2 linked regions of the Caenorhabditis elegans genome follow. The main gene of each other region encodes a partner of the protein of the gene in region 2 in a complex. Each region holds a gene or a part of one and is shown on either strand. Other genes may lie near its edges. The genes, in order: sin-3 and mrg-1.

Region 1 (9,983 bases), on a different chromosome or scaffold from region 2:
AAAAAAAACAAACTTTTTCCGTCTTTCCTCACAGATTTGTTCGATTTGATTAACAAGAGGCTTCGACTTGAACGCTTTTTGATCGTAATTCTTGTGTTGATTATTCAAAATCGTCGTTGCAGCCGACATTTGCTTGTCCAAAGCGTCTCTCCATGTTCTAGAATTGATATTTTTAGAAAGTTTTGAGGGAAATTAAGTAAAAAACCTGTTAGTATCCTGTTGGAATCGACTCCACAGCAAGTCTTTCTCCTTCAGACTTTCAAGAATTCGTCGTAAACCTACAAGTGGATTCTTTTGTGCAGCATCAATGAAATCTTGAGCAGAGTTTGTGAAGACTTTTGCTAGAACACGAATTGTGGTGGATCGAGATGAAGCATTGAGCCATTTGTCCAATCTGAAAATCACTTTTTACAATGAAAACAAATTTTCGGTTTCGTTTTCAAAAAACAATTGATATTTTCTAAATAATTTTCGGAAGTTCGGACAGAGAATTTCGGTGTAGCAGAATCCCTTTCTAAGAGGTCCTCGATAATTTTTTTTTTCAATTTTATGTGGTATTTTTGTAGATATAATATCTGAATACTTACTTGAACGACTTCTTATCTTCATCACTCATCGCCTCGTAATCTCGAAGTGTTTTTGACAATTGTTCGATGACAGTTCGATTTGAATCAACAATAATATCAAGCTGAAATTTTAAATAATCTTGTTAATTGAATATTTGTTAAATTGTCTTCACATCGAAAAAAAACAAACCTCATAACGTTCATCCTCGGTTTTGAAATGAAATTCTTCCAAATTCGATTTCTTAATCGCCTGACTACCAGTATCTTCAGATGACCATGATGGTATTGATGTCCACGTATCATTGAGAACCTGAAAATATCATTCAAATAAAATTTTTAAATTTGTGTAATTTTCCATACTCCTTTGAGATCATCATCCAGCTCAACACGTCCACTACAATCAGTTGCTTTCGTATCCTTCATAAATCGATAACTAGGACCTAGTGTACACACTGTTGCTGCTTCAACATTCTTCACTTGTTGCAACATTTTTTGATCACGAAGACCTCGTTTTGGTTGAATGGCAGGTAAATCTTTTCTCATAACTGCATCCATATCATTCTCTGGTCGATTTTTTGGTTCTTTTTCTGCACCCAATAATTGGAGAATAATCATTTCAAGATCAGAACCAGATGTTCCCATGATCTTTGGAAGTTCACTAATCAATTGTTCTCGGGTTATATCCAAATTTGCGTAGGCATTTATCAAAACCATCAGGTGAGACAGTTGATTCGGTGTTGTTCGACTTTTTAGCTGAAAATAAAGTTTATTGAATAAGCAAAATGATAAAAACTTTTAGAGGGCGAGTGGCTTGAATTGGATTTTGTTTTAATGGGTTATGGGGTTATTCAAGTAGTGTTGGAAAATTAAAAAGTGTAGAAAAATTACGTCACACCTGTTTTCAAGTATTTAAATACATGTGTGACGTAATTTTTCTACACTTTTTCCGATAATAATTTTTAACACGGCGATCGGCGATCGCCGATTACCGTTAATATTTTTGTCTTCGGCGATTTTATTGACAAATTTGGATTTTGAATCGAAATCCCCATTTACGCTACTCCACCGTTAAAACAAACCCTTTCATAAAGAATTCTGTATGATTTCTTGAGTATCATCAATTCCACGGTTGCTCCTTCATCGCCTTGCCCAGCAACTTTTAGTTTCAGTTTTTCATTCTGAAATTTTTAATCATTTTATTTAATTTTAAAAGGAGTAGCAAACCTTTTTAGTCCCCATTTTGCATTTTTCCATTTGTTTCACTAAATCCATGTCGACATCGGATGGATTTACACGATTTACAGGTGGAATATCGTTACGATCGTTGGTGGCGGAGAAATGGAGAATTGTTTTGATTTTCTGGAAAAGAAAAAAGGTTTAAAAATATTGATTTGCAATGATAGTTTTTTTTTTCAAAAACGAAAAAGGCGTTTTGTTTACAAAAACTGGTTGGTAGATCAAGGGCAAATTGCATGATTATTGAGATTTTTTTTTGATCTATGATATTTTTCGACGATGAACAAATATCAAGTCTACTTTTCTAATTAATTATTTCAAAATATATTTAAATATTAAAAACTGAAAATTAAATTAGATAGTTCACTTGAATTGTTTTAGATATTTCTATTTTAAATTTTAAATTTTCGCAATTTCGTGAATGGGAAATTTTCTATAGAATACTGCAAATATTCTGAAATTCAAAAATCATGCAAAAAAACGAAAAATTCTTGAATTTGGAAAGTTGTGGTTTTTCATTATTCCTCGCTTTTTCGTGTTTCATTTGGTATTTCGGAATTTCAGAATATTTTTTAATTATTATGAAAAATCATATATAGGATACATTATCTCACCAATGCTATCGCATCAGATCCATTAACAAGAAGTTTCCCAAGATATGGAAGAAAATCAATAGTTGCTGCAAGAAGATCAGGTTCTCCAATACAACAATTAGCAAGCATTGAGACAAGATAATCTGAGCACGATTCCTCAATTTGCAGATTTTTCGATGAATCTTTTTTCTCAATATCATCAGGTTTTTTGATTTCTTGTGGTGCATTGGATGGTCCTGGAACATCATCAACTTCGATTTTCTCATTTTCTTCAATCTCGTCATCCTCATCATCTTTTCTCAATTTTTCCATATCTTTTTTATATTGTTGATCACTCATGAAGAAGTCAATGAACGTCATGAAATCAACAAGTTTCGTCGGGCGAGCCAGAAACGATTTTTTGAGAAGTTCGATTATGTTCAGTGTATGAGCAGCCAATTCACTTGACATTTCGATCTGAAAACGATTTTTAAATTTTTCACATGGCACTTACATGTTTTCTAGATCAATTATGGCTTGTGAAGGCAGAAGTTTGATATACAATAATAAATAGCTAAGAAAATGTACTGAAAAGACAACAATGTTTCGCTACAGTAAACACTCCAGGACAAAGAAAGATATAGAGCTCAAACGAGCAAGAGAATCGCCCATCGTTGAAGAACTGGGAAAACCAGCAACTATCAGTGAAGGCAATACAGAAAAGTAAAAATTTTAGAAGATTTTTATTTTTGAAGAAAAATCTGAAAACGTTGGTATGTATTTTTTTAAAATTTATCAAAGAAGATTTCAGATATGTTTAAAATCAAATATTTTAAAAACCTTCAAGTTTTTTGTTTTCAAACAAACAACACAAACCTCTTGTTGTGAATCTTCACAATCATCCTTCTTTCTATCATCACAAATAATTTCTTCAATCAAATGATTATCTTCTTCCATCATTTCTTCATTATTTTTATCTTCTATTCCAGATTCTTCATCATCTTCATCATCAATTCCATCTACATCATCTTTTTCTTTACTTTTATCCATATCTTCATCTTCAATTGTACGGTCTTCGTCTTTTGATATTCCTTCTTGAGAACCCAACTCAATTGCTCCTACAGCTTGTGCTCCAGCTTCAATTGCACGGGCTCGGCGTTCGTCAGGCGATAGCAGAACCTTCAAATTTTTTGTAATTTAATTTCGAGGCAAAACAATATTGTGTGGATATTGGATTTTTAAAACTATTTTCAAATCAGATTTTTAGTATAATCTAAATATCCAAACGAACCCTTGGCTGCATTTGTGGCGAAGAAAAAACATATTTTCGATCTGGAGTCAATGTGATACGATATCCAGTTGGCAGAAAAGTATTGAATCCAAGAACAAGTTCCGGTGAATCATATAAAAGTTCTGCTACTTGTTCAATCACATCAGGTGTTTCAATTCTGCAAAAAAGACAGATATTTGTTTTTTTTTTTGGATTTAAATAAAGCAAAATTTAATCCGCATCAAATGTGTCGGTTTTACGATATTTCGGAAGATAGCTTGAAATTTTTTGCCTTTTCAAGTAAATTATGTTATCTTATGTTTGAACAAAACAAATGTTTTTTTAAAGTTTTTTGTAAATCTAAGAATATTTGTTTTCCCGGAAAAACCAAAACAATTTTTTTTGATTTTCAACCTTCAAAAATAAAATTCAAATTTTCAGAATTACCTCTGAGCACGAAAATCCTTCATAATTTCCAAAAATCGATGATAAACGGGTACATCAGATGAGAAAGTACTTTTAATAACTCTCAGATAGGCGAGAGCTTCATCAACACGTGGTGGACCTTCTGGTTTCTTTCGACGACCTGGACGATTTTGTCGTCGGCCACCTTGTTGTTGACGAGGCTCACGTTGAGGACACCCTGCAGAAGTTGCTGGAACAACTGGAGGAACTGAAGGAACTTCATTAGAAATTGGTCCTTGTTGAGCAATTGGAAGGGCTAGTGGAGGAGTCTGAAAAATAGATTTATTGGTTTTCGGAATGAATTGTTAAATTGACGTAAATATAAAATTGTCAATTGCTATAAATTTTTTTAGTTCAGACATGCATTTCATTGATAAAATATCATCATCTAATATTTGAAAACAGTCTTAAACTTCAAATTTTTACACATTTTCTTCAAAAAACTTACGAAATGCTGAAAAACAAAAGTAATTCTGTTATTTTTTGAGCTCAATTGAGAAATATTAGGTTTGCGAATTTCGGGAAAGCAGAAATGAAGGACAAATTGTTTGGCGCTACAGTACTTTCTAACTTTTTAAAATATAATTTTCTATAAAGAAAGGTTCAGACCTTCCAATTTTCAGACATTTTTTAATTTTCAATCAAATAAATATTTACGGGAATATGCTGCTGATGCTGTACTTGTTGAACGGGAACCTGACGATGATGGGCCAGGATTTGTTGTGCCTGTTGAGTCGATGTGAGATTTTGAATATTCAAAGCTTGTTGCTGTGGAATCGGACGAATCAATGGAGATTGTTGTTGACTGTTGGCCCTTGGTACATTTGCAGCCTCTTCCTGTGCAATAAATTGTTCAATATTTCTTGCAGCTTCACTATTTCTAGCAAATGGGGTTATTGCCGGTGAATGAGATGGTAGTAGATATTGTTGCTGAAGAGCAGAAGCTGCTGGTGAATGTGATGGTTGAAGTGGAGAACCGATATGAAAAGGAATTGGAGAACCTTGAGCATTTTGTGCAAATTGTGCCTGAGCTGCTTGAACAGCAGCTTGTACTTGAAATAATCCTAAAGGATTAAATGGAAATTGATTGAGTCCTTGAAGAAGTTGATTTTGTTGTTGTTGATGTTGCATTCTTTGTTGTTCTATCAAAATACGCTCTTGATCACGTATTTGAAGTTCCAGTTGTTGTTGTTGTTGATTCTGATGCTGTTGTTGATGTTGTGATTGTTGAATCATTTGTAATAAAAACAACGTCGCATTATTTGTAGGTTGTTGTTGAGATTGATCTCCTCCATTGTTGCCACCGCCGCCTCCAGGTGGTGGATTGTACATTCTGAAAATCTAACTTTGGAAAGTTACCTTTAGTGAGAAGTTTTAGAAAATAGAGAAAAGAGACAAAAATAAGTTTCTTTATTGATTTGCTTTTTTAGCACATCCTTAAATTTCCAACGCTGTTTCAAGCTGAACGTTCAGTTTCAATTTTTTTAAAAATCAATCATTTGATTTTGTATTATTGAACTTAAAGTTTGAAAACCGTATATAGCTGAAAAATCGAAAGAAAATTTACTTAAATTCTTTTTCAAATGTTGAGAAAACTTTAGTCTTTGATTAAAATGAGACATTGTTACGAAACAGTAGAATTTTTGTTTTTCTAATGTTACAAAGTTTTCAAATTCGATAGGAATATTGTTAGTAAATGTTTGTATGATTAAAAAACGTTACACTTTGAAATTTTAACAAAAAAAAGAACATTTTGTTCGTAAATCCTGTGAAGTATTGAAAATGGCGCTCGTTTCTCTGCTGCCTCTCCTCTCTCGCTTTTGCCTTTCAGAGCGCGTTTGCATACAGCTTAAGAGACGCAGAGAATTTATTTTCCGGAAATATAATTTAACGAAGTACGCTGAATAACCTTTAAAAAGGTGGCGGAGCTCAAAAAATAATTTAAATATTACAATTTAGAGCCCAACAAATAAATAAAATTTTTATTTTCAACCCGTTCAAGATATATTATACATGAAATTATGAGGGAGTTCAATAAATATTCAAAAAATTGAATTTCAACTGCTTAAATAATTAATTACATTCCTATTTCTACAAACGGTGAGGCAGTTGATCGTGTCGATGTATCCGTCGGGATCACACGTGTGGGGATGATCGTCGAATAAAGCTGTTTTCCTCTTTTGTCAAAGAAATCGAGTCGAGCATTGTAATGTCCAAATTCTGCATATATTAAGCCGCCTTTACGGAATCCGAGCTGCGAAACTGGTGACCACGAGAACCATGATTTTTCCGGATAACTGAAAGTTTGTTGAAATTACTTTTTAATGCTTTCAATCTTCACTTGAACTTCAACGTATCCCTACTGAATTCTTTAATATGCTTCGTTGATGCATCTGCTCGAGAAGCTGCTCCAGACACAACATAGTTAATTATATGCTCTCCATACCCGGGAAAAGTGAAATGCTGAAACATTTATAAAGTAATTTGAATTAAAATTACTAAGGTAAACCTGCAACGAATGGTCGTGTCCTGAGAAGTAAGCATTCACATTAAATCGTTTTAAAAGTGGATCCAAACGTTGACGTAAACAGTCAGTTGGACCATGTGATGACATAGAATGAACAGGATAATGACCAGAAATTATTAGGTATTGGGCACTGAAAGAGGATTTTTAAAATAAATTTCCATTACCCAGAAGCGAAATCTTCCGATTTCTGGGCCAGGCATAAGATGCACGGTCTCGGCACGACTAAATTTTGTTGAATGCAAAAATGTGCGCCTTTTTTTTTAATCTTGAATATAACAATTTAAAAATAGATGAAAATTCCGCAACAAGAGTTAAAAATTACAGTACTTTAAAGGTGCATACCTGTTTTTATTTTACAAAAAGGTCGTGGCGAGGTCATTTTTTGAAAAAATCCAAAATTCCTAACCTGCTTGCTTCTAAGTTATTCTCCAACCATGCCCATTGTTCTTCAGCGGCAGTTATATTAACAGGACCACGTGGATCATGTGATTCATTACGTAACATTTCAATAAAACCAGCATTTTGAATATCCTTTGTATTTCCACATAAGGAAATTGTATCAATCATTAAAAAATCGATAGAAGTACCATTGAATTCTACTGATTTCTTATAGTAAAGTGATGGAAAATACCACTTTTTACTATGTTTTGTATATTCAATCTCGGCGGTCACATTTCCAAAATGATCATGATTTCCGGCTATTGTGAGCCATGGAACTTGTAGACTCGGATTCGTGTAGACATTTTCGAAACGTGACTGAAATATTTTAAATTTAGAGGGATTTACTAAAATTTTGGGTTAAAAAAAAGTACAAACCTCGAATCTTGGATCAAATTCATCAGTGGGTCCCGTAAAATATATGTTATCACCCATATTTAATATCATTTGAACACTATGTTCATCTGCTAATGATGCCATTGTCTGTTTGACTTCATTTTGTGCCCAAGTCGTCTCCAATATTGGAATTCCTGAATTACTAGAGATACACTTTTTTCTAAAATCATTTTATACCTCCTGTATCACCAACTAACAAAATTCGAAAACTTTTTGAATCTCTTTCCGGATCGTAAATATTTCCATTATAAAGCGGAACATCTTCCGACGATGAAATGTCTGAAAAAATAAAATAAAATGAGATTTAACTTGAATTTTGGGTCAAGAGCTAATTCGGGTAGGTGAGGTTAGATGTGCTAGTGAGGGTTTTTGAACTAAAAAAACTAACAAAGTAGAAATTTTTGGAAAAAAAAATTCAAAAAATTCAACTTTTAAAATGTCATTTCTTCTAAATGAGATCTACCACCAATCGACACTCTGCTCCGCCCACTTCTGAATCAATCAGTGAGTCGGATTCGTTCGGAGTGAAGTTGAAAAGTCCCAATGTGTATTTATTTTCAGAATTATAAAAAAAGATGTCGATTTTTCGATTTAATTTAAAAATCGGAGAACAAAAATGTTTCGTTCTTTCGAGAGAAAAAAATTAAATTTTAACAAAAAAGTTTTAAAAATTAGGATAAAATTAATAATTTAGTAAGAAGTGCACTCTAAAACCACCTAAATCCCTCATGAAAAACCAACTGGAGACTGCAATGAAGAAGATTGTCGAAATGCCGAAAAGTCCCACAAAACACATGATTTTTCGCATTTTCCGTCGAGATTTCACTTTTTGCTGAAATAAATTTATTTGAAAAAAAAGATTTTTGAGAAATTCAACTTATTGAGTGTTAAAAACATTTGTAATCTGAAATTCTAGAAAATTTAAATTTCAAAACAATACTAGGCAGTTAAAAAAAGAGAATAGTCAAGCGGAACTGATTTGTCATGAATTGGAATATAAGCCTATTAAAAAGGCTTATATTTCCAAAAAGGGATTACTCTTTGGCCTTAAACAATTCGAGATTTACTAGTTTTATCTGTTGGAATATTAAAATTTTGTTTTTAAAAATATGTTTTTGATATAAAATTTGAATGTTTTTTCAGAGGGCAACAATAACCACAATAAACTGATAAAACTTCATGAAATGATACCCTTTTTTTATGCAAATCGGTCGTTTTTGGGAAGTTTATGATTCATCGGAACTTTATTTTATTTTATTTTTATCTCATGTTTTTAATCGTGAGAAAATTTTGAGAAGGAAGAAAATGCAAGCTTATCGAATTGTCAATGATTTTCAATAATTAAAAAAAATGTTTTAAGCTAAATCGTGCAAAAATTACTTGAAATTTTTATATATTTATATTAAGTTATTGATTTTTTAAAATGCAAGACTTACTGGAAGATCAGGAAGAAATCGATCAAGTGATGACGAGCTACTGCGTTTTTCCAATTTTTCATCAACAAGCAGCATTTTCGGTAAAACTCTTCAAGCTTGAGGGTGCTCTGACCTGAAATTAATAAAAATTTATTCATTTTTATACAATTATTTATCAATTTGAGGAAAACATCGGTGGAAGGAAATTCAAACAATTTCGAAACTTTGAGTAATTTCTTAGATTTGAGAAAAATTACTAAGCGTTCCGCAATTAAATGAGTATTTTCAAAAGTTGGGCATCGATTTCTCTATTTTCCAGATATTTTCCGAAGATAACGACTGGATGTGTGAGCGTGTTATTGAGCGAATATAGAATGACGAACAATGTCTGTTTCTCGGCGTCTCTCACCTTTTCTTCTCTTTTACTTCGTTTTTTATCTGACTATGTTTGTTCTTACCGCAAGATAGCACGCGTGCTCCTTTGCGTCTGGGTTATAGATCAAAAAATGAAGAAACGGTTTTGCGGGGAGTTTTTTGGGGTTTTGGCCTAAATTTTTTTGTTTAATTTTGATGCTTGGTCTATGATGTGAAATTGAGAGTGTGAAGATTGAAAAAAATCGGAGATATATTTAAAAAATGAATGTGAATACGAGAAATCAATCAAAATAAACAATTATTCTAAAAAACAAATCGATAATTGAAACTTCCAGGTTACGGTAGTTTTAAAGGCACACAACAATTCACTTGCTTTGGGTCTCGCAGCGCATATGGTTCACTTTTTGAAAATTTTATTCTGAGCTTGATTTTCTCCATTTCAAACATGTTTTATTTAATTGAATTTAAGATTTATTTGTGTTTTCATTGTGAAATATTTATCCGAAAGTCTCACCAAGACATTTCTCGATATCTACTGCCATAAAACCCATCCAGCATTCCTGTCTGTCCGATCACATCTCGGAGCGCTTTTCTGTTGAAAAAACCTTGGCATTGAAAAATAGCGTGTGAGATGAAGAAATACAAAGAAAACAAGAATAGAGAGGAAACGGGGCACAAACGAAGAGACAAGAAAATGATGTGTGCAAGGCGTTTGTGTTTCGG
Region 2 (10,543 bases):
TCCAGTTGTCACAATGCGCAAGGTACTGCTCAGAGAATATTGAAGCTTTAAATAATAAATTTTGCATTTTCAGTCCGCTAGAAACCATGAAAAATCCACAGAGCCTCAAGCGACGAAAGAGAACGCTCCGCGGCTAGTCGGAAAACGTAGAGAACAATTCATAATCGGTGAGCAAGTCACGTGCACACAGAACGGAAAGCCATATGACGCGTACATCGTTGACATCATAACCGACACTGATGGGAAGGATTTTTACTGCGTTCACTTCAAAGGATGGAACAGCCGTTACGATGAGAAAATTCCAGTCGGCGAGGAGCAGGGTCGATTGTTCAAGGGCTCGGCCGCGAAGTACGCAGAGATGCTCGAGATGAAGAAGTAGATGGGATCTGCTAATAAATTGTTAAATTGCTAAAATTTTGTGTTTGTTAATTGTTCTTTTCAAGCTATTTGTACAATGAATTCTTACCGAAATTGACAAGTTCATATTGTATAAAATGCTGGAAATATTAGCTTTTGACAGACAAGAAACAGGATAGATGGAGAGAGAAAGGGGCACCCATGAAAAGCGAAGAAAAGGGGAAATAAATTAGGCCAAGAAAACCAGATAAATTAAATAAATTATTGTTCGCTACGAATCAAGCGGTTGTACAAGTCGTCGACCTCCTTCTTCACAAGTGGCACGATGATCTCTCCATCGTTATCGATATAAGCTCCGATAGATTTCGTGATTTTTCCCTGTCCAGAGCGTCCTTCCTTCTTAAACTCGGCCGACAGCGTGTACTTATCGTCGTGAGCCTTGATCTCCGAGCTCCACGCCCATTTTCTCGATTGTTTTCCGTCGACTTCGGTGGCCTCGTAGATGCAGTCCTTCTCGACGTACCACTGATACATTTGAAGAATTCCCATGCATATGAAGTAGGAAACCGAGCACACGGCGAGCACGATTTTCGACTTTGGGAACGGCTCGTAGTAGTCGTAGCCGCAGGCGAACGCGGAGAACGCGACGCCGATGAATGAGATGAGAAGACGCAGATTCATTAGATTATGCGATTCCGTCCATCCGACTTTGTCGTTCAGAATCTGAAACGAAAGATTTTAATTTTAATTTTAATTTTGGAGTTTCGGAGAGCAAACCTTTTTGACGACTTCATCAAGGGCATTCTTCACTGTTGGACCGTCCCATTTGTTCACAACTTTCACCGGCTCGTCCGTCATCTGAAAATTAATATATTTGAGAATAAAAATTGAATAGAAATCCAAAAAAACCCAAAAGAAATGAGCAAAAAGCTAGTGGTGACGTCTCAAAATTGGAAGTCTGCATTATTGCGTCGTGGTGTTTGCGTACTTTTTCGTGCGCGGCGCTATTGCATTTGCTTAGAAAACCGCGCCGCAGGGGGGTTTGAATTGCGAAAATGCCGTTGAGCTTTGAGAAAAGCTTTTTTTTTGTTTTTATCGATAAATTTATCGAATTTTCGATATTTTTAATCTATTTTTTGATTAAAAATCGTTCAAATATACATCATTGGCTAGAATTGCTGCTAAAACTCGCTTAAAACACCAATTAATCGATTAATTTCTTTAATTCCTTCAGATGTCTTCAAAGAAGAACTTCGAAGTCGGCGAGAACGTCGCGTGCATCTACAAAGGCAAACCATACGATGCCAAAATTACTGATATCAAAACCAACAGCGATGGCAAGGAACTCTACTGCGTTCACTTCAAGGGCTGGAACAATCGATACGATGAGAAAATCCCAGTCGGCGAGGAGAAAGACCGCATTTTCAAGGGAACAGCCTCGGAGTATGCAGAGAAACACAACGCAGAGCTGCCAACAACTGCATTGAAGCCGAAGAAGAAAAGTCTTGCGGCTGAAGCACCACGAGACGATCGTGATGACACTCCGGGGACGTCGAAGGGAAAAAAGGCGAAATCGGTGACAATTGCGCCGGTTATGACCGCCGACGATATGAAGGTCGAGCTTCCGAAGCCACTGAGAAAGATCCTGATCGATGACTACGATCTTGTCTGCCGTTATTTCATAAACATCGTGCCACACGAGTATTCAGTTGATCAAATCATCGAGGACGTAAGCATAAAAAAAATTAAAATATCATTTTTTCCGATTTTCAAATCCAACATTTTCAGTACATCAAAACCATTCCGGTCAGTAATGAGCAAATGAGAACGGTCGATGATCTGCTCATCGAATACGAGGAAGCTGATATAAAAATCACGAATTTGGCTCTGATTTGCACCGCGCGTGGACTCGTCGACTATTTTAATGTCACTTTGGGGTTGGTTAATTCGAATATGTTAAACAGATGCATGCAAATTGCACGTAGCCCAATGTTTAGTACCACTGCAACTTTTTTCGAACGAGGGACGAGGAAAAGCGGTTTCTAGCCCATGGCCGAGGGGCCGACAAGTTTCAGCGGCCATTTATCTTGCTTTGTTTTCCGCGTGTTTTCTTTAATTTTTCATAGACTTTTCCCGTTTTTTTCTTATTAAAACTAAATAAAAGATAAATAAATATTTTTGCAGATGCCAAAACAATTTCCAAGTGAAAAAATTATGTATTCAGTCGGCAAGTAGCGGTGAAAGTGCTCAATGTTATATGATGGATTACGGGAATACTAAATCTAAACCTTTTCTGAAACATGGTATATATTCTGCTTAGAGACTGAAACTACCCGATTTTCATCATAACGAGACCGCTGAAAAAGATTTGAGATTTTCAAAATTCAACTTTTTGTGCAAAAATCTCAGAACTTTTTGAGCGGTCTCGTTATGAAAATCGAATAGTTTCAGTCTCTAAGCAGAATAAATGCCATGTTTCAGAAAAACGATTAGGTTTAGTATTACCGTAATCCATCATATAACATTGACCACTTTCACCGCTTCTTGCCGACTGAATACACAATTTTTTCACCTGGAAATTGTTTTGGCATCTACAAAAATATTTATTTATCTTTTATTTAGTTTTAATAAGAAAAAACGGAAAATTTTTTTGAAAAACAAAAGAAAACACGCGGAAAACAAAGCAAGATAAATTGCCGCTAAGTCTTGTCGGCCCCTCGGCCATGGCCTAGAAACCGCTTTTCCTCGTCCCTCGTTCGATAAAAGTAGCAGTGAGTACACATAATGCCCTCCGCTTCGTAGAATAGTCGCCCCAATCCCACTTGAAACAGTTACGATGTAAGGATGAATTGTTTAGTTCCAGCTACCAACTGCTCTATAAGTTCGAGCGGCCACAGTACAATGACCTTGTCAAAAAGCGAGCTATGGAGAAGGGAATCGACATCACAAACCCGACCGCCCTGCAGGATAGTGGATTCCGTCCATCTCAAGAGTACGGAATTGTGCATTTCTTGAGAATGCTCGCAAAGCTCCCGGACTACCTGAAGCTCACTCAATGGAATGATCATGTTATTAACGTATGTTCGAAGTTCAACTCCTGGAGCGTCTCCTGAATCTGGTTTCCACACGGAATCTGTTTTTTTTTGGCGAAAAGGTGTAAAATTTGGAAAAATTAGGCCGAAAATTGGATCGAAACCGTCAATTTTCTCGATTTCAGGATCATAAAAAATCCCATTTTGTAGGGAATAAGCAGATTCACAAAACATTGATTTTTAAAATTGAAAAATGGGGAAATTGCCTTGTTTAATTTTAAAAATCAATTTTTTTTTGTGAATCTGCGTTTTCTCCACAAAATTGAATATTTTACGATCCTGAAATCGAAAAACTGACGGTTTCGATCCAGTTTGAGGCCAAATTTCCAAAATTTACATTTTTTCAATGCGTATCATTTTTCTCAACATTAATATAAATAAAAAATAGCAAAAAAAAACGATTTTCCGTGAATTCAGGAGCCCGAAATTGCTTTAAAACACGCCTATGGGACCACAATGACAGAATATCATGATAAAAAATTCAAAAAAATTTTATAAATTTTATATGATTTTTTGAAAATTGGAAAAATCTCAGTTTTCACCTAATTATTTTTGAATTACCGTCAATTGGATTTGTTCGATGGAGCGAGCTTGCATTATTTTCATTAATTAATTTTATTTTTTCTCGTTATTTGACTGGTTTTCTTCATTTTCTATGTTTTTTCCTCGGAAAATGAAAGAAATAAATAGGACAAATGCGAAATGTTTGTTAAAAAGTAATTGAAAATGCGTAAAACTGTGATATTCTGAGTTCCGACAAGCCTGAGATTAGTATATTTCACAGTTTTACTCATTTTCAATTACTTTTTAACAAACATTTCGCATTTGTCCTTTTTAAAAGCATAGAAAATGAAGAAAACCAGCCAAATAACGAGAAAAAATAAAATTAATTAATGAAAATAATGCAAGCGCGCTCCATCGAACAAATCCAATTGACGGTAATTCAAAAATAATTAGGTGAAAACTGAGATTTTTTCAATTTTCGAAAAATCATATAAAATCTAGAAATTTTTTTTTGAATTTTTTTAATCATGATATTCGGTCATTGTGGTACCATAGGCGTGTTTTAAAGCAATTTCCCCACTGAGCGTAGTCCCATGCTCCAAAAATAAAATAAATCAATTTTCAGCGCATCATGATTGGAGTTCACGATTTGATTGTGTTCCTGAATAAGAATCACGGGAAGTACTACAGAGGATCGTCTGATTATCAAGGTGCCTCCAACGACTACTATCGCCGATCTCTCGCCGCCGACGACGGAGTTGGAGCGAATCAATAGACTGATCTCCTTCATCATGTGTTCCATCCCAGACGATCTTCAATACACCGATATAACTTCAATAATTTTATACATTGTTCATTATTTTCCAAAGCTAGCCCCACCATTATGTTTTTGTGAAATCGTGGAGATCCATATTTTGTTCACGTTAATCTCACGTTTTCTGACGACTTCCACATTTCGCATTCCATTATCGTTCAATTTTCCGTTTAGTTGTTTCCCAACTATTCTAATGAATATGATTCTCATTTTCTTTTCAATAGCCCCCCACATTCATATTTTTCCAGATTCTTCTTCTCTTCCAACTCCCCGCCATTTTTAGCCTATCGAGATTTGATATAATGTCTGCGTGCCCCCAAAACTATTCCATCTCGCATTCCACGTGCCAGACTGGAAAGAAGAGGAAGACTGAAGATTTTTTTGAATATTAGAATATACTTTTTTCTTCCGATTTTGAAGTTTCATGATTAAGATGGTTAAATATTGAGAATGCTTATTGAACAACATAACTGACCCGCAAAATATCTCGTAGCGAAAATTCTTGTCGATTTACGGGCTCGATTTTCGAATTGAATTTATTTTTAAATAGTGACAGCGATATTTAATTTTCTTCTATCACTATTCAAACAATTCAAAAATCCGGGTCCGTAAATCGACACTACAGTAGTCATATTACTGTAGTTTTTGCTACAAGATATTTTGCGCGTCGGATATGTTGTTCAATACGCATTCTCAAAAATTACAAGAAGTTGTCTTTTTTTGAAAAGAAATTTTTGAGTCTCAAAGAAAAAAAAACATCCCAAAAGGGTTTCCTCTCGCTCAGCCGCTTTTTTTTGGGAAAATTCGGTCATTTTCTTTGATACAATTTTTCGACTAAAATATCAAAAATATTTAGCAAAGTATTTCTACACTTTCTACATGACCGAATTTTCGCAAAAAAAAGAAACGCCGAAATCATCTCAACGCAGTCGAAGATTTTGGCAAGAATAGCCAGTTTTAGGAGCATTTTGTTTGTGTTTGCAGGCGACGCGCATTCGCGTACAAGGCATTTTAATTGACGCGCAAAACATTTAATTCAGCGGCAGCGAATACAATCTTAAATCAGTTTATCAGATGGCGCAGTTAAATTTTACCACAACTGATATTTTAATAAATTGATTAATTAAAATCTAATTTTAATGATTTAAAAGTGTTTAAAATGATTTTAAAACGAGTATTCGAAAGATTCCAGACCTGCCACAAACATTTATTTTTTGATCTACTCCTTTTTCGTCCCACTCTCTCATTCAACGCGACATTTTTTCTCTGTTCAGGTGAGGAATTGTTTTGCATTTTTTGTCATTTTTTCCAATGGGTGGCTTGGAGTACGGCTGTTTTTTTTTTCTCACAGAATGGATTTTCTGATTTTTCGTGATTTTTTCTTTTCGAGTTGCACGTTGACAAATGTTTCACCGCAAAACTTCGCGTTTTTATCGATTTTAAGATTAAAGTATAGGGTTTCGAAACGACGCAAGTTTTTCTGAGAAGCGAAAAGGTGTGCGCCTTTAAGGAGTACTGTAGTTACAAACTTTTGTTTCTTTCAATTTTTTTCGATGTTTTAAAACGCGTCAACAAAATGTTGTTTTTTATTTGAAGGCGCACACGTGTTTATAACATTACGAAAATTGAGCCCGTGAATCGACACAAATGCTACAGTAGTCATTTAAATAATTACTGTAGTTTTCGTTACGAGATATTTTGCGCGTCATAAATGTTGCACAATACGCATTCTCAAAATTTTGTAGTGCTCCCGTAATAGTACTGTAGGAATTTTGTAGGATTACTGTAGTTTAAAACAATAACAATTTCCAATTTTTTTCTGGCTAGAGAAATTGTAAAATTTTCTGGGCATTTTTCCCCGTTTTTCAAAATATTGATTGATTTTTTTCTGCTATGCGTCTTCCATTTTTGCTTTAAAAAAGTAAAATATAAATAATATTTTTCAATTTCAGACGCGTTGGATCCTCCAGCACGGGACGGATGGGTGGCATCGACGATGACACATGGAGCAAAAAGGAGCACTCATAGGAAGGTAATTGGTCTGCAATTTAAGCCGTGGACTTCTTGGGCTTCTCGGGCTTCTCTTGGGCCGTGGGCTTTTGAAATCAAATATTAATATTTTTCAATTTCAGATGCGTTAGATACTCCAGCAAAAATTGATTGAACGGATGGACGGAGGGACTGTTGGACGAAGGTTGGACGGAAGGACGACAGCGGCGACGACTCATGGAGCGAAAAGGAGCACTCGTAGTATGGTAATTGGTCTGCAATTTAAGCCGTGGGCTGCTTGGGCTTTTTTCGGGCCGTGGGCTTCTTTGTTGTTAATGTGCGAAAACGTGACGCTAGCGCCATTTTCAGTCGCTCGTCATTAGTGTTCCTCTCCACCCTTTAAGTTTGTTGGCCAGTCCGAGGGCACGGGCGGCCTTCTTTGAGGACGTCCACAGATTTTCTTTGTGGATAGGGCTGCGATCTACCACAGGTTAGGTGGTGATCTAAGCCTCCCTCTCATTGTCCCCACAACCACACGGGAGATCCTTCGATTCTTTTTGAAAGATTAAAAGGACAATCCGTTCTTCAAGTGCTATGCACTGCGGATCTGGGAGTCAGGTACATTGCCTGGTGATGATCCCACTGGGCTGTAATTTAAGCCACGTCCTAGCCGGGGAATATGGCCGATAGTCCAGTCGTTGATTACTCTACTTCCCAATAGATCTTGATCTCATGATAGATCTTGATCCAATCTTGATCTCATGGCCTCAAGATTGCTAGCGGCCACCACTACCGACTGAGCTGTCTGCCCCTCTTCTTCTTTTGTACATTGTTAGTAAAAAAGGTTGTTCCATGAACTGAAACAAATTGAAAAATTGGGAAAAACTGCGAGAATTAAAATATCTCCAGTTTTTGAAAAAACAGTTCAAATTTTGGGTTCACTCTTTTTGCTTTACAGTGATTGTTACATTGTAGATTCTGTGGACTTGTCCAACTGTCTACGACGGCATGAGTTTAGTAAAATGTGTTTACCATGAACTGAAAAACAAATTGGAAAATTGAGAAAAACTGCGAGAATTAAAATATCTCCAGTTTTTGAAAAAACAGTTCAAATTTTGGGTTCACTCTTTTTGCTTTACAGTGATTGTTACATTGTAGGATTCGGTGGGATCTTCCCAACAGTTCACAGTGGCATGAGTTTAGTGAAAGGTTTTACCATAAACTGAAACAAATTGGGAATTCGGGTAAAGCTTCGAAAATTTAAATTTCTAACTGTTCAACTTTTTGGTTCAATCTTTTTACTTTACAAGGACTATCGCACCTAACGCGCTACGCTTTGCAGAAAATTAAGTTGGAAAACTGGGGAAAATTCGGATTGTTTTGAACCAAAATTGACTGAGCCATAGTCATTCGAAGATAATATCATTCCTTGGTTTTTTCTAAGTGTATTCGGGCCTGCGGTCCTCAATCTGGATAGACTGGTCTTTCCAAAAGCATACGTAGTCTCATTGAAGGCCTGCTCTGCTGGTAGTAGGGAAAGAAGTGGCCTAAAGTTTCTAAGAGTAAGAGGGTGGCCCTGATCCCCGATTTTTGGGTCTGAACGAAACACGATAGCATTGCAGGCCACCAGCATGTACTGCTGGATGATGTTAAAAGTGGCCAAAATTCAAAATTTGCCGAGGTCGGCAAATTCGGCGTGCTTAACAAACTCAGGAAAATTTGATGTCTAAAATGAAGAAAAATAGAAATTTTAAAATTTCCAATTATTTAAAAAATCTCGACACGACTGATGAGGTCATGGTGCACCGAACTAGTATTCCCGAGAACAGAACCGCGACGCGACACGCGACGCACAGTAAAACAACAAGTCTGGGACGAGGTGGTTTACCCCGCCAAGAAACCCCGACAAAATATTTATTCCGAACGTTATAAGTGATTGAGTGCAATTTAAACGAGTACACGAATTGGGCTTTCACTTGTTGAGATTCTCAAAAATTATCCTCTCTTTTTACGCGACAGGACCATTCCACAGTTCGGACAATGATGAATTGCGTCACGGATATCAATGCAACAAAGGATGTAGATGAGGAAAAAGGCGACGAAGATAATCAATATGATAATAAGCCAAGCGAAACATCCCATTTCGTATTCGACAACTGTCACAACGGTACACTGAAAAAATTGTTGTTTGAAAATGTGTCTACTTTGAGGGCTTATATCTCGGTTGGCTTGGGTTTTATCAAAAAATTTTTCACTGAGAAAATATAGAGAAATATTTTCTGCATATTTTGTTAGTTAAAATTGTTTAAATAAAACTAAAGACAACCGAGATATAAGCTTGTGAAGTAGAGCACTCACTCTGCATCTTGGACAATATTCCTGGTAGGGTTTGAATGATGGAGCAACTTTCTCGTAATACATGTACTGAAATTAATTATCCATGTTTTGAATTGGTTTATTATCTTTTTACCGGTGTTGCCACGACGACTTGTCCAGCTTCTTTTCTCTGAAAACTCAAGTATAAGGTTTGATCTCCGAGAATTGCGGGAATTTAGAGTATATTCCCGCATTTTTTGTAGATCAAGCCGCAATGGGGCAGCCTGACATTGCAATTCTATAGCCGTAAAAAAAATGCGATTTTCTGAGTGATTTTTGTAAACACACAAAAATTGGCAACCTTTGTGCCTGCCCGGAAGACGACCTAAGCCTTATACAGTGCTGGCCAAAAAGATATCCACTTTTGGTTTTTTGTGTGTAACTTTTTTCTCAAGCATCCATTTGACTTGAATTTTTCCGTGTGCATAAAGCGAAATGTTACGCAAATTTGCGGACCAAACATTACATGATTATCGATTTTTTCTGAATTTTATTTCAATTTTTTGATTTTTTCGTTTTTCCAATTTTCATTATTTTTTTTGAATTATCAATAAAACGCACTCTTTTTGTTGCACTGGATTTGTTTGGTTGATAAATTATTTTTAAGGTATGGTAAAATCTGTTGGGTGTAAAAATCTTTCCTTGGACGTCAAGAAAGCCATTGTAGCTGGCTTCGAACAAGGAATACCCACGAAAATGCTCGCGCTGCAAATTCAACGTTCTCCGTCGACTATTTGGAAAGTAATCAAGAAGTACCAAACTGAGGTGAGTTCGAAAAATATTATTTTTTAATAATAAATGTTTAGAAATCCGTCGCTTTGAGAATCTCGCCCGGCAGGCCTCGAGTGACAACCCATAGGATGGATCGCAACATCCTCCGATCAGCAAGAGAAGATCCGCATAGGACCGCCACGGATATTCAAATGATTATAAGTTCTCCAAATGAACCTGTACCAAGTAAACGAACTGTTCGTCGACGTTTACAGCAAGCAGGACTACACGGACGAAAGCCAGTCAAGAAACCGTTCATCAGTAAGAAAAATCGCATGGCTCGAGTTGCGTGGGCAAAAGCGCATCTTCGTTGGGGACGTCAGGAATGGGCTAAACACATCTGGTCTGACGAAAGCAAGTTCAATTTGTTCGGGAGTGATGGAAATTCCTGGGTACGTCGTCCTGTTGGCTCTAGGTACTCTCCAAAGTATCAATGCCCAACCGTTAAGCATGGAGGTGGGAGCGTCATGGTGTGGGGGTGCTTCACCAGCACTTCCATGGGCCCACTAAGGAGAATCCAAAGCATTATGGATCGTTTTCAATACGAAAACATCTTGGAAACTACAATGCGACCCTGGGCACTTCAAAATGTGGGCCGTGGCTTCGTGTTTCAGCAGGATAACGATCCTAAGCATACTTC

The links.
Region 1: mrg-1 (region 2) and sin-3 share a complex: the UniProt entries of both Caenorhabditis elegans proteins name them as parts of the SIN3S complex.

Annotation. Positions count from the first base shown.
Region 1 is NC_003279.8:8,412,290-8,422,272, reverse strand, and holds the start of sin-3 (Paired amphipathic helix protein sin-3), read right to left. Parts: upstream 5,443-9,983; 5' UTR 5,442-5,442; coding exon 4,767-5,441; intron 4,379-4,766; coding exon 4,092-4,378; intron 3,823-4,091; coding exon 3,666-3,822; intron 3,554-3,665; coding exon 3,251-3,553; intron 2,852-3,250; coding exon 2,417-2,851; intron 1,926-2,416; coding exon 1,791-1,925; intron 1,745-1,790; coding exon 1,646-1,744; intron 1,320-1,645; coding exon 927-1,319; intron 877-926; coding exon 757-876; intron 689-756; coding exon 588-688; intron 395-587; coding exon 206-394; intron 158-205; coding exon 14-157; intron 1-13. Other genes in the region: F02E9.7 (Tartrate-resistant acid phosphatase type 5), read right to left, coding at 6,187-6,406, 6,451-6,572, 6,619-6,766, 7,043-7,392, 7,453-7,604, 7,648-7,749, 8,212-8,302, 8,907-8,981. UniProt on the Caenorhabditis elegans protein: Probable transcriptional repressor required for the deposition of dimethylated 'Lys-9' of histone H3 (H3K9me2) on asynapsed chromosome pairs (both autosomes and sex chromosomes) during meiosis, but this does not seem to solely affect the transcriptional status.
Region 2 is NC_003281.10:12,865,703-12,876,245, reverse strand, and holds mrg-1 (Mortality factor related protein 1), read left to right. Parts: upstream 1-1,591; coding exon 1,592-2,086; intron 2,087-2,145; coding exon 2,146-2,294; intron 2,295-3,214; coding exon 3,215-3,434; intron 3,435-4,578; coding exon 4,579-4,728; 3' UTR 4,729-4,972; downstream 4,973-10,543. Other genes in the region: cec-7 (Chromo domain-containing protein), read left to right, coding at 1-22, 74-379; spcs-2 (Signal peptidase complex subunit 2), read right to left, coding at 619-1,080, 1,135-1,215; Y37D8A.8 (LITAF domain-containing protein), read right to left, coding at 8,752-8,928, 9,115-9,180, 9,227-9,262. UniProt on the Caenorhabditis elegans protein: Protein involved in the remodeling of chromatin thereby regulating various processes including transcription, chromosome synapsis and genome integrity.